Ovis aries: one gene and its partner. The protein of the gene in region 2 binds, or shares a complex with, the protein of the main gene of each other region. Links are inferred from orthologs where the notes say so. Each region holds a gene or a part of one and is shown on either strand. Other genes may lie near its edges.

The links.
Region 1: the proteins of ROBO3 (region 2) and NELL1 are in contact, whole or in part, in a crystal structure (PDB 6POL), measured with the Homo sapiens proteins. The link is inferred for Ovis aries from reciprocal best matches to the Homo sapiens genes ROBO3 and NELL1. Residues at the interface, in NP_071765.2 of Homo sapiens: Ser553, Pro555, Val590, Glu592, Phe594, Pro596, Asn600, Thr601, Trp602, Thr604, Ile624, Leu626, Arg630, Gly633, Ala634, Trp635, Gly636, Leu637, Ser638, Glu639, Pro646, Val647, Arg648; in NP_006148.2 of Homo sapiens: Ala440, Lys441, Met442, His443, Tyr444, His446, Tyr458, Arg468, Val469, Asp470, Asp471, Phe472, Ser473, Asp478, Ile492, Cys493, Thr494, Asn495, Thr503, Cys504, Lys505, Pro506.

What each region holds. Positions count from the first base shown.
Region 1 is NC_056074.1:21,836,053-21,840,441, reverse strand, and holds the start of NELL1 (protein kinase C-binding protein NELL1), read left to right. Parts: upstream 1-1,332; 5' UTR 1,333-1,479; coding exon 1,480-1,534; intron 1,535-4,389. UniProt on the Homo sapiens protein: Plays a role in the control of cell growth and differentiation. Promotes osteoblast cell differentiation and terminal mineralization.
Region 2 is NC_056074.1:25,787,495-25,791,291, reverse strand, and holds part of ROBO3 (roundabout homolog 3), read right to left. Parts: coding exon 3,754-3,797; intron 2,873-3,753; coding exon 2,751-2,872; intron 2,571-2,750; coding exon 2,345-2,570; intron 2,123-2,344; coding exon 2,001-2,122; intron 1,772-2,000; coding exon 1,600-1,771; intron 1,493-1,599; coding exon 1,307-1,492; intron 1-1,306. UniProt on the Homo sapiens protein: Receptor involved in axon guidance during development. Acts as a multifunctional regulator of pathfinding that simultaneously mediates NELL2 repulsion, inhibits SLIT repulsion, and facilitates Netrin-1/NTN1 attraction.

The DNA of each region.
Region 1 (4,389 bases), about 4.0 Mb from region 2:
GTTAGGAACAGAAGAAGTAAGAAGGGGATTAATGAAGAGGATTTTTCTTGAACGTTGTAAATGTTTCCTGGAAAATGAGGGAGAGCTTTGTTCAGAGACGTTTCCCTTCTTTGGGATCCCTATCATATCAGAGGGCTGGGCTGGACTCAGAGAGAGGGGACCAGTGTGAGCAAGCCAAGGAGTTTTAAATCATGTGGGGCTCGTTTGGTGTAAATCAAAGGCTCTGTCATGTCTGATTTCACGACTCTGCAATCTAGTTATAAATAACGTTCCTGAAAGGAAGTGCCATGAAACTGGGAGATATTTCTAGGGAAGGCTGGGTTCTGCAAGGGGGTCACATAGAAGCAGGAGGATTGGTCTTCTTGCCCACACTCCTAAAACAAAGTCCAGCCATTCTCTCCAGGAATGGTGTTGGAGAGGGTTCCAGAATAACTGCGGGAGAGGTCAAACCGTGACTGTGAAAGGAGAGTAGTAGGGTTTTTGACAAAACCATCGAGAAACTCACTCAAGGAAAAAAAAAAATGGTTAGGAATTTCCCCTAAGTGGCAGCATCTGCCCTGCAGAACCGGAAGGCTTGCAAATAAAACTCCCCAATTCCCCACCGTGCTTCGCTCGGGCTCAGGGACACTTTTTCTGCACCCCCCTCCCCCGGTCTTAGCGTCCTCTCCCTGAACCCCCAAAGCGGGTCTCCACTCAGAGGGACCCAGCGGAGAGAGGAGACTGGAGGTACAGGTGGTGAGACGGAACTCAGGCATCATCTCCCTACACCCCCCTCCCCAACCAGTCACCTAAGCAAATCCGGAGTAACTGTCCTCCAGGGAGGAGCTGAGGGCGCTAGTTGAGTCCGTCTGGGTCGGGGTTCCCCCGGTGGCGGGGACGCGGGGCGGGGGGGAATCCACCCGCAAGGACTCGGGGTTCTTCGTTTCGACCAAGATGAACTGTGGCAACTTCGGCAGCCCCCACCGCGGCGCCGAGGCAGAGACAGCAGCAGCGGCTCCGCCGGCTCGTCTGGGCTGGAGAGCGTGAAGCTCAGGGAGGGGGTGCCCTGCGCCTCCAGCTCCTCCCTTTTGGCCCCCGGGTCCCGGGACTCCAGCTCCGGCGCTCCGAGTGGTAGCGGCTGCTGCGCCGATCGCCCGGGTCCTCGCCGCGGAGGAGGAGCCGTTGCCAGCGCCAGGCGCAACCTGCCGGAGCGGCCAAGCCCCGCGTTCCCACCCCGGCGCCGAGGCGGGCGCCGCCGCAGCGGGGGCCGGGGTCCGGGCCGGGTGCCGCCGCCCGCGGTGGGGGCGGGCTGGGGGCGGGGCGGCCGGGGCCGCCTTCCCGGGCGCGATCCCTGAGCGCGGCGCCCGGCGCAGCAGAGCCACCTCCCTCGCCGCCCGCCAGCAAGTTTGGCGGCTCGGAGCCCGGCGCGTCTCGGCATCCAGGCGCATTTGTTTCTTCCTGGCTTCCACGCGCCCGCTTTGGCCGGGACCCTTGGGAGCGATGCCGAGGGGTGTGATTTTAGTTGTGTGCTTCTGTGTGTGCGCCGCCAGGACAGGTAAGCACGGCTGGGGCTGTCGGAGGGATGCGGGGAAACGGGCGAGCCCAGCCGCTGTGCCCAGCGCCCACCTCGGCGTGGGGAGGACCTGGAGCAGAGCTCCGCGCCGGTCCGGGGAAGGGCGTGGATGGGTCCCTCGAATCTCTCTGCCCTGCTCCAGGTGAAAGGCTGAGAAGTGGGACTTACAGGCCGGGGGAAGATGCCCCCGAGGAGCAGCCCCCTGCCCGGAGGACGCGGCCTGGCGGGCACAGGGGTGAGGGGCGCGGCCATTCAGGCGCACCCTCCAGCTGCTAGCGACCGGCTTCCGGGTAGAAACCCACATAGTAGGGCGGGCCCGGGAAGCCCACCCCCGTGAACTTGACAGGTGCGGGGGAGTCCGCGGTCTCTGCGCCCTGCTGGCCGGGGCAGGGGCGGCGGCAGGGAGGCGCACCCGCAGAGGGAGCGCTTCCGGCCGGCGGGCGGGCGCTGCTGGGGCGCGGGCGGGCGCGGCGCGGGGTGGGAGCTGCGGACGAGGCTGGGATTCCGAGACCCCTTTTCTCGTCCCCTCCTGCCTCTCCCCCGGGGAACTCCTGAAGTAGTTTTTCTTGCCACTCCCTTTCTCCCCCAGAAGGCAAGACAAATTCGAGGGAATTGGAGCTGTGGGGGCAATCCCAGGGAGATGCTCTTAAGCTCCAAGCCAGTTTTCGCAGACTGTAGCTGCGTGTTGGTGTCGTGGAGGGGAGGTCAGGAAAACGGGCGTAATTTTCTGAAGTCTCCACTTCGTTCTGCCTCCAGGGAAGCAGTTGTGAGGACGTTAAGAGCACCTCCTCTCTCAGCCCTCAGCCTGCATGTCCCCTGGGGGTTTGGAGACCCACTCTCAGCCGCCTTCTCTGGGGAGCTAGTAGTAGATTGGGGAAGGTGGCGGTGGATTGGACGAGGGAATTGGCAAAAATAGGACTCTCCACTGCGGGTGGGAGCGTCGCGAGTTTTTATTCCTACGCTAGGCACCCTCCTAACGTGCGGCAGACTTCGCACCCTAGAGTTGATATGTAGTCATCCCCACTGCTTTTTTCCTCTTTTATCACTCTCGTCTCTCCTCTCTAGAGGCATAGCCTCCTGCCCACGCTAGGGAGCAAGTTTATAGGTAGAGGGCTGGGAATGGGTGCCCGGCCTGGGTGGGCTCAAAAGTTCCCTCCGCTCGCTCCCCAGGCGTCCCTCTTGGGCTGTTAGCAGCCCGCCTGAGGATTCAAGAGTTGGGCGTCCAGCAGCTTCCTGCTGGCCCTTTCCATCTTCCCCAGGACCGAGCAGGCGGCAGCTTTTCCTTTGCTTAATGAAAGCGCGGCGGGTGTGGACTTCTCCAGCGATAAAAAGAATCCCCATCCGTTTTCAGTCTCCACCCGAGAGCTCCCCAGCCTGCCAAGATGCCATGACTGCCCAACCTAGAATAAGCGCTTCTTGAGTTCCGGCCTATATAGGTGGGTTAGTCTTTTAAAGCCAAGAGCACACGAGAAAAAGCTTGCCCCCCGGAAAGATCAGAGCAGTGGGGACAGTGCAGAGTGTGGGCGACCAGCCCTGCTAGTGGAGAATCTGGTGCTGGTGAGCATCTTACAGGGGAACCAAAGAGAGAGAAACTAGGTGGGGCTGGGGTGGGGTGAGATATCTGTCACTTAATTTTCTCAAGTGCACATCGCTACGGAGTATGCCTACGTCCTTTGTTCTCATTACTCCTTTGAAAAGTCGGCCAAAAGTACCTTCGCCAGAAGTGGATTGTGGGTCCAGGGAGCGTTGCTTGTGGAGTTTCTTTAATAACAAAATCTTTTCCCCTTCCCCACATTGAGCCCCTTTAAATCTTGTAAAAATTTGGTTGTAGGGAAGTTTCATTTCTGTGTTCATTCATTCATTCAGCTGAAGAGTTGAGCGCCTTGCTGGGTGCTAGGATTGCTTATGCAAAGAGGAACCGACTTGGTCTTTGACTTCCAGGAACTTACAGCTTAGCTGAGAATCTAGATACTGAAAAGTGTGTTTATTGTACAGTTTGATGGGGCAGAGGGAAGAGAGATGGGATTATAGAAGTCTGCATTAAGGATATAGAGGAGAAATTGTAGAAATGAATTCTGGGGAGGGGTGGTAGATGGTCAGGGAAGGCTTTAATCAGAAGGTAACATTTGAAAGTTGTGTCTTGAAGGATTTTTAGGAGTTTTCCAGGTGGGCAGAGTGGGGAAAGCATTCTAGACAAAGAGCACAGCTTGTCCAAAGGCAAGGAAGAATGGAAGGATCTGCCAATCAGTTGTGCAGTTGCTTAGGGAGCTTGGGTTTTCTGCGCACTTGGTACTCGTTCAAAGAGTACCAAGAGGCTACACATTTCTACTACAGAAATTATCAGAAGAATCAGAGAGACATGGGGGAATTATATCTCAATTCTTTTACTTACAATTTCTTGCAACTTGGGGGATATGATCAGCAGTTTTCTCTTTGATTTTACCTGGGAACCATCATCCCTGCATCACACATCCATCCTCTGAGGTAGCTAAGGCCGGCTCTTAATTAGTTTATCAGGATCCAAAAAGCCAGTTGGAAAGTTTATTTGTCAAGTGGGATAATTGTTGTCTGGGCTGTTAACAGCCCAAGATGAAATAAACACGTGGTTCACTGAGTGAACTGCTCAGATATCACTGCTTTTAATGGAAATGAATAGATGCTATCAGGCACATTTTAATTAAAGCAGCACTGCAGTGCAGTAGCAGTTACATATGAAAAGATCTAATGATAGGTGTCACAGGAAGCTACTTACATTACCTCATTGTTCAGAGAACTTGTTTTAAAGAGTAAAGTGGAGTTAAGATAGGTGTTGTTTTGGTTATTTCTGGGTGAAAAAT
Region 2 (3,797 bases):
TGTCCAAGGGGCTGAGCTCCAGTGCAACTCTTCCCGTGACCTCCACCCCCCACCCCGCCCCCGCCAGCAGCTGAGTCCTTCCTGAAGCACAAGCTGGAATCAAGATTGCTGGGAGAAAAATCTATAACCTGAGATATGCAGGTGACACCACCGTTATGGTAGAAAGTGAAGAGGAGCTAAAGAGCCTCTTGATGAAAGTGAAAGAGGAGAGTGGAAAAAGTTGGCTTAAAGCTCAACATTCAGAAAACTAAGATCATGGCATCCGGTCCCATCACTTCATGGCAAATAGATGGGGAAACAGTGGAAACAGTGAGAGACCTTATTTTCTTGGGCTCCAAAATCACTGCAGATGGTGACTGTAGCCATGAAATAAAAAGACGCTTGCTCCTTGGAAGAAAAGCTATTATCAACCTGCTGCCACTGCTAAGTCGCTTCAGTCAGACGACTCTGTGCGACCCCATAGACGGCAGCCCACCAGGCTCCTCCATCCCTGGGATTCTCCAGGCAAGAACACTGGAGTGGGTTGCCATTTCCTTCTCCAATGCATGAAAGTGAAAAGTGAAAGTGAAGCCGCTCAGTCGTGTCCGACTCTTCGCGACCTCATGGACGGCAGCCCACCAGGCTCCTCCGTCCATGGGATTTGCCAGGCAAGGGTACTGGAGTGGGGTGCCATTGCCTTCTCCGATTACCAACCCAGACAGCATATTAAAAAGCAGAGACTTGACTTTACCAACAAAGGTCCATCTAGTCAAAACTATGGTTTTTCGGTAGTCGCGTATGGATGTGAGAGTTGGACTACAAAGAAAGCTGAGCACTGAAGAATTGATGCTTTTGAACTGTGGTGTTGGAGAAGACTCTTGAGAGCCTCTTGAAATGCAAGGAGATCAAACCAGTCAATCTTAAAGGAAATCAGTCCTGAATGTTCATTGGAAGGACTGATGCTGAAGCTGAAACTCCAATACATTGGCCACCTGATGGGGAGAACTGACTCATTAGAAAAGACCCTGATGCGGGGAAAGATTGAAGGCAGGAAGAGAAGGGGAGGTTAGAGGACGAGATGGTTGGATGGCATCACCGACTCGATGGACGTGAGCTTGAGCAAGCTCAGCGGAGTTGGTGATGGCCAGGGAAGCCTGGCGTGCTGCAGTCCATCGGGTCGCAAAAAGTCGGACACAACTGAGCGGCTGAACTCTCTCTCGATTCTCCGCGCCTCCCTTCCTGGGGGAGCGAGATCTCAAGGCTCCGCCCACCCCACCCCACCCCCGTCGAGTCTCCCAGCCGCCGGCCCCCGGGGCTGGGCTCTCACCGGTGTAGTGACTGAGCTCCTTGCGCTGCCTCCGGCGCCGGTAGAGGGCGCCGCAGAGCCCGAGGAGCAGCGCCCCGCAGGCGGCGCCGCTGCCCGCGAGGAAGGCAGGCTCCCGCAGCACCCTCGCCAGCCGCTCTGCCAGCCCCGGGCTCGCCTCGAGCCCAGGCTCCAGCTCCGGCGGGGACGCTGCGGGGGTCAGAGAGGTGAGGGGAGTAGAGGCAACTCTACCCCAGGACACCCCCCGCCCCACTCCCGAAACCCCAGCTCCTCCCCCGCACCCGCTCCGGACTCACGCAGCTGCACAGACACCGGGGCGCTGGCCACGCCCACGCCCGCGCTGGTGGCCGCCGCGACCTGGGTCCGGTAGAGGAGACCGGGCAGCAGGCCCCGCAGCACCGCCGAGCGCGCCCAGCCCGCCGCGGACCGGTTGAGATGAAAGCGGCTCTCGTTGCCCAGGCACCAGATCTGGGGAGGCCGAGACCCGGGCTTAGAGGGTCAGAAGTGGATCTCTGAATGGTGGGAATGACGCCTCGGCCAGGCGTAATTCGCTCGGAGAGAGCACTCTGAAACCTCTCTCCTCTACCCGGACCTCGTCTCTAGTCCCAAAGCCAGTCCTAGGTTCCCTCCTCCCTGATCCTAACCTTCTCCCTCCACTGCCCAGCCTGCCCACCCAGGCCCTTCTCAACCCCTGCACCTGGTATTCCTCGATGACCCCATTTTGCTGCGAGGGGAGCGGAGGTTCCCAGGACACAGTGATACTGCTGTTGCCTTCACCCCCCAAGGCCACGGCCACTCCCTGGGGGGGACCACTGGGGGCTGGGCCAGGGTGGAGCATGGTGAGAAGGACACAGACAGTCATTGCAAGCTGCCCCTCCAGCCCCAACCTTGCTCATCCTCCCAGTGCTAACCTCTTAGGGAACTGAGAGGCGTGTCTCCTCCCCCCACCCCCCGCCCTTTGCCCTCCCCAGGCAAACCTTCCTCCTCCCCTCTCTCTTTTCCCTCCTGTCCACCCATCAGCGCTGTGCCCCACTCCCTTACCCTCCTCAGGAATGTTCCTGGTCACCAAGGGGCTTTCAGCCCCCAGCTCCTCCTGGCCTTGAGCTTGCACCTTGACCTGGACTTGGGTCCCTGGGGGGAGTCCTCTTAGCACTGTGCTTTGCTGGCTTGGGTACGGTAGGTCCAGCACCGACCAGCTTCCCCCATCAGGTCCTGCAACCCTCCAAGACACCCGGAAACCTTGCACCAGCTGGACTGGGCCATCTACCTGTGGGAGGCAGGACAGAGGATGCCAGAGGAGGGGCTGGAGCCAACAAGTCCTCCTGTCGCAGCCCCTTCTTCACCCAGCAGTCTTCCCCAGCCACGCACCTTGCACACTCCCGTACGCATTCCCCTGTGTCCCCCATCATCATGCCTGCCCTTACGCTCATCCCTGGGCCACACTCACGGTCCAGGACACCTGCAGAGTCCGAGGCCCAAGGACTACAGGCTCCTCCAGACGCACAGCCACTTCGGCCAGTCCCTGCTGGCCTCTCCATGGGTCCTCCACTGGCCTGGATGGGCTGCTGTCTGCTGGCCAAACAGTCCACTCAGCAAGGGCCTCTGGGACGGGGAGCCAGGACTGAGGGCATGTGTATGTCCCCTGCCCTGCCCCGCAGACCACTACTTAGTACTTTGGAGCCCATCCCAGAGTCAGGAGATGGCTGGTCAAGGGAAGAGCTTCCAGAGGTGGGCCAGGGTAGCCTGCTTTCTGCATATATTTGTTGTTGTTCAGTTGCTAACTTGTGTCCAACTCTGTGACCCCACGGACTGCAGCAGGCCAGGCTTCCTTGTCCTTCTCTATCTCCCAGAGTTAGTGCTCAGATTCGTGTCCATTGTGTTGGTGATGCTATCTAACCATCTTATCCTCTGCCACCCTCTTCTTCTTTTGCCTTCAATTTTTCCCAGCATCAGGGTCTTTTCTAATGAGTTGGCTCTTTGCAGATTTATATATATATATATATATTTTTTTTTTTTTTCTTTGCCTGAATGCATAGCATGCAGAATCCTGGTCCACTGAACAGGGGTTGAACCTGTGCCCCGTGCAGTGGAAGGAAGCACGAAGTCCTAACCACTGGACTGCCTGGGGATTCCCTTGCACCTTTCAAGGCCTTGTTCCTCATCTCTCACATGAAGACGTCCCTCCAAGTTTCCTTCTAGTCTTGTTATCTATAAGTAAAGGCTCGGAAGGGAGGAGCTACCAAGATGACTGAATCAGTCTCTCTCTCTCTCTCTGTTTCTCTCTTGCCTCTTCTCTTGTTCCCTCAGTGAAAGGGAAGCATGACTCCCTCTTCCAGGCCCGGCCACCAGTACAGAAACTGGAAGCAGATAGGTGCCATAACTTGCAGGCAGGGGGTGCTCTGCGGGGTTGCATGCCATACCTGTGATCCAGAGATCCAGGCCTTACTCACCCTGGGTGCGAACGGGCTCAGAGACAGGGCTGGGCTCACTGAGG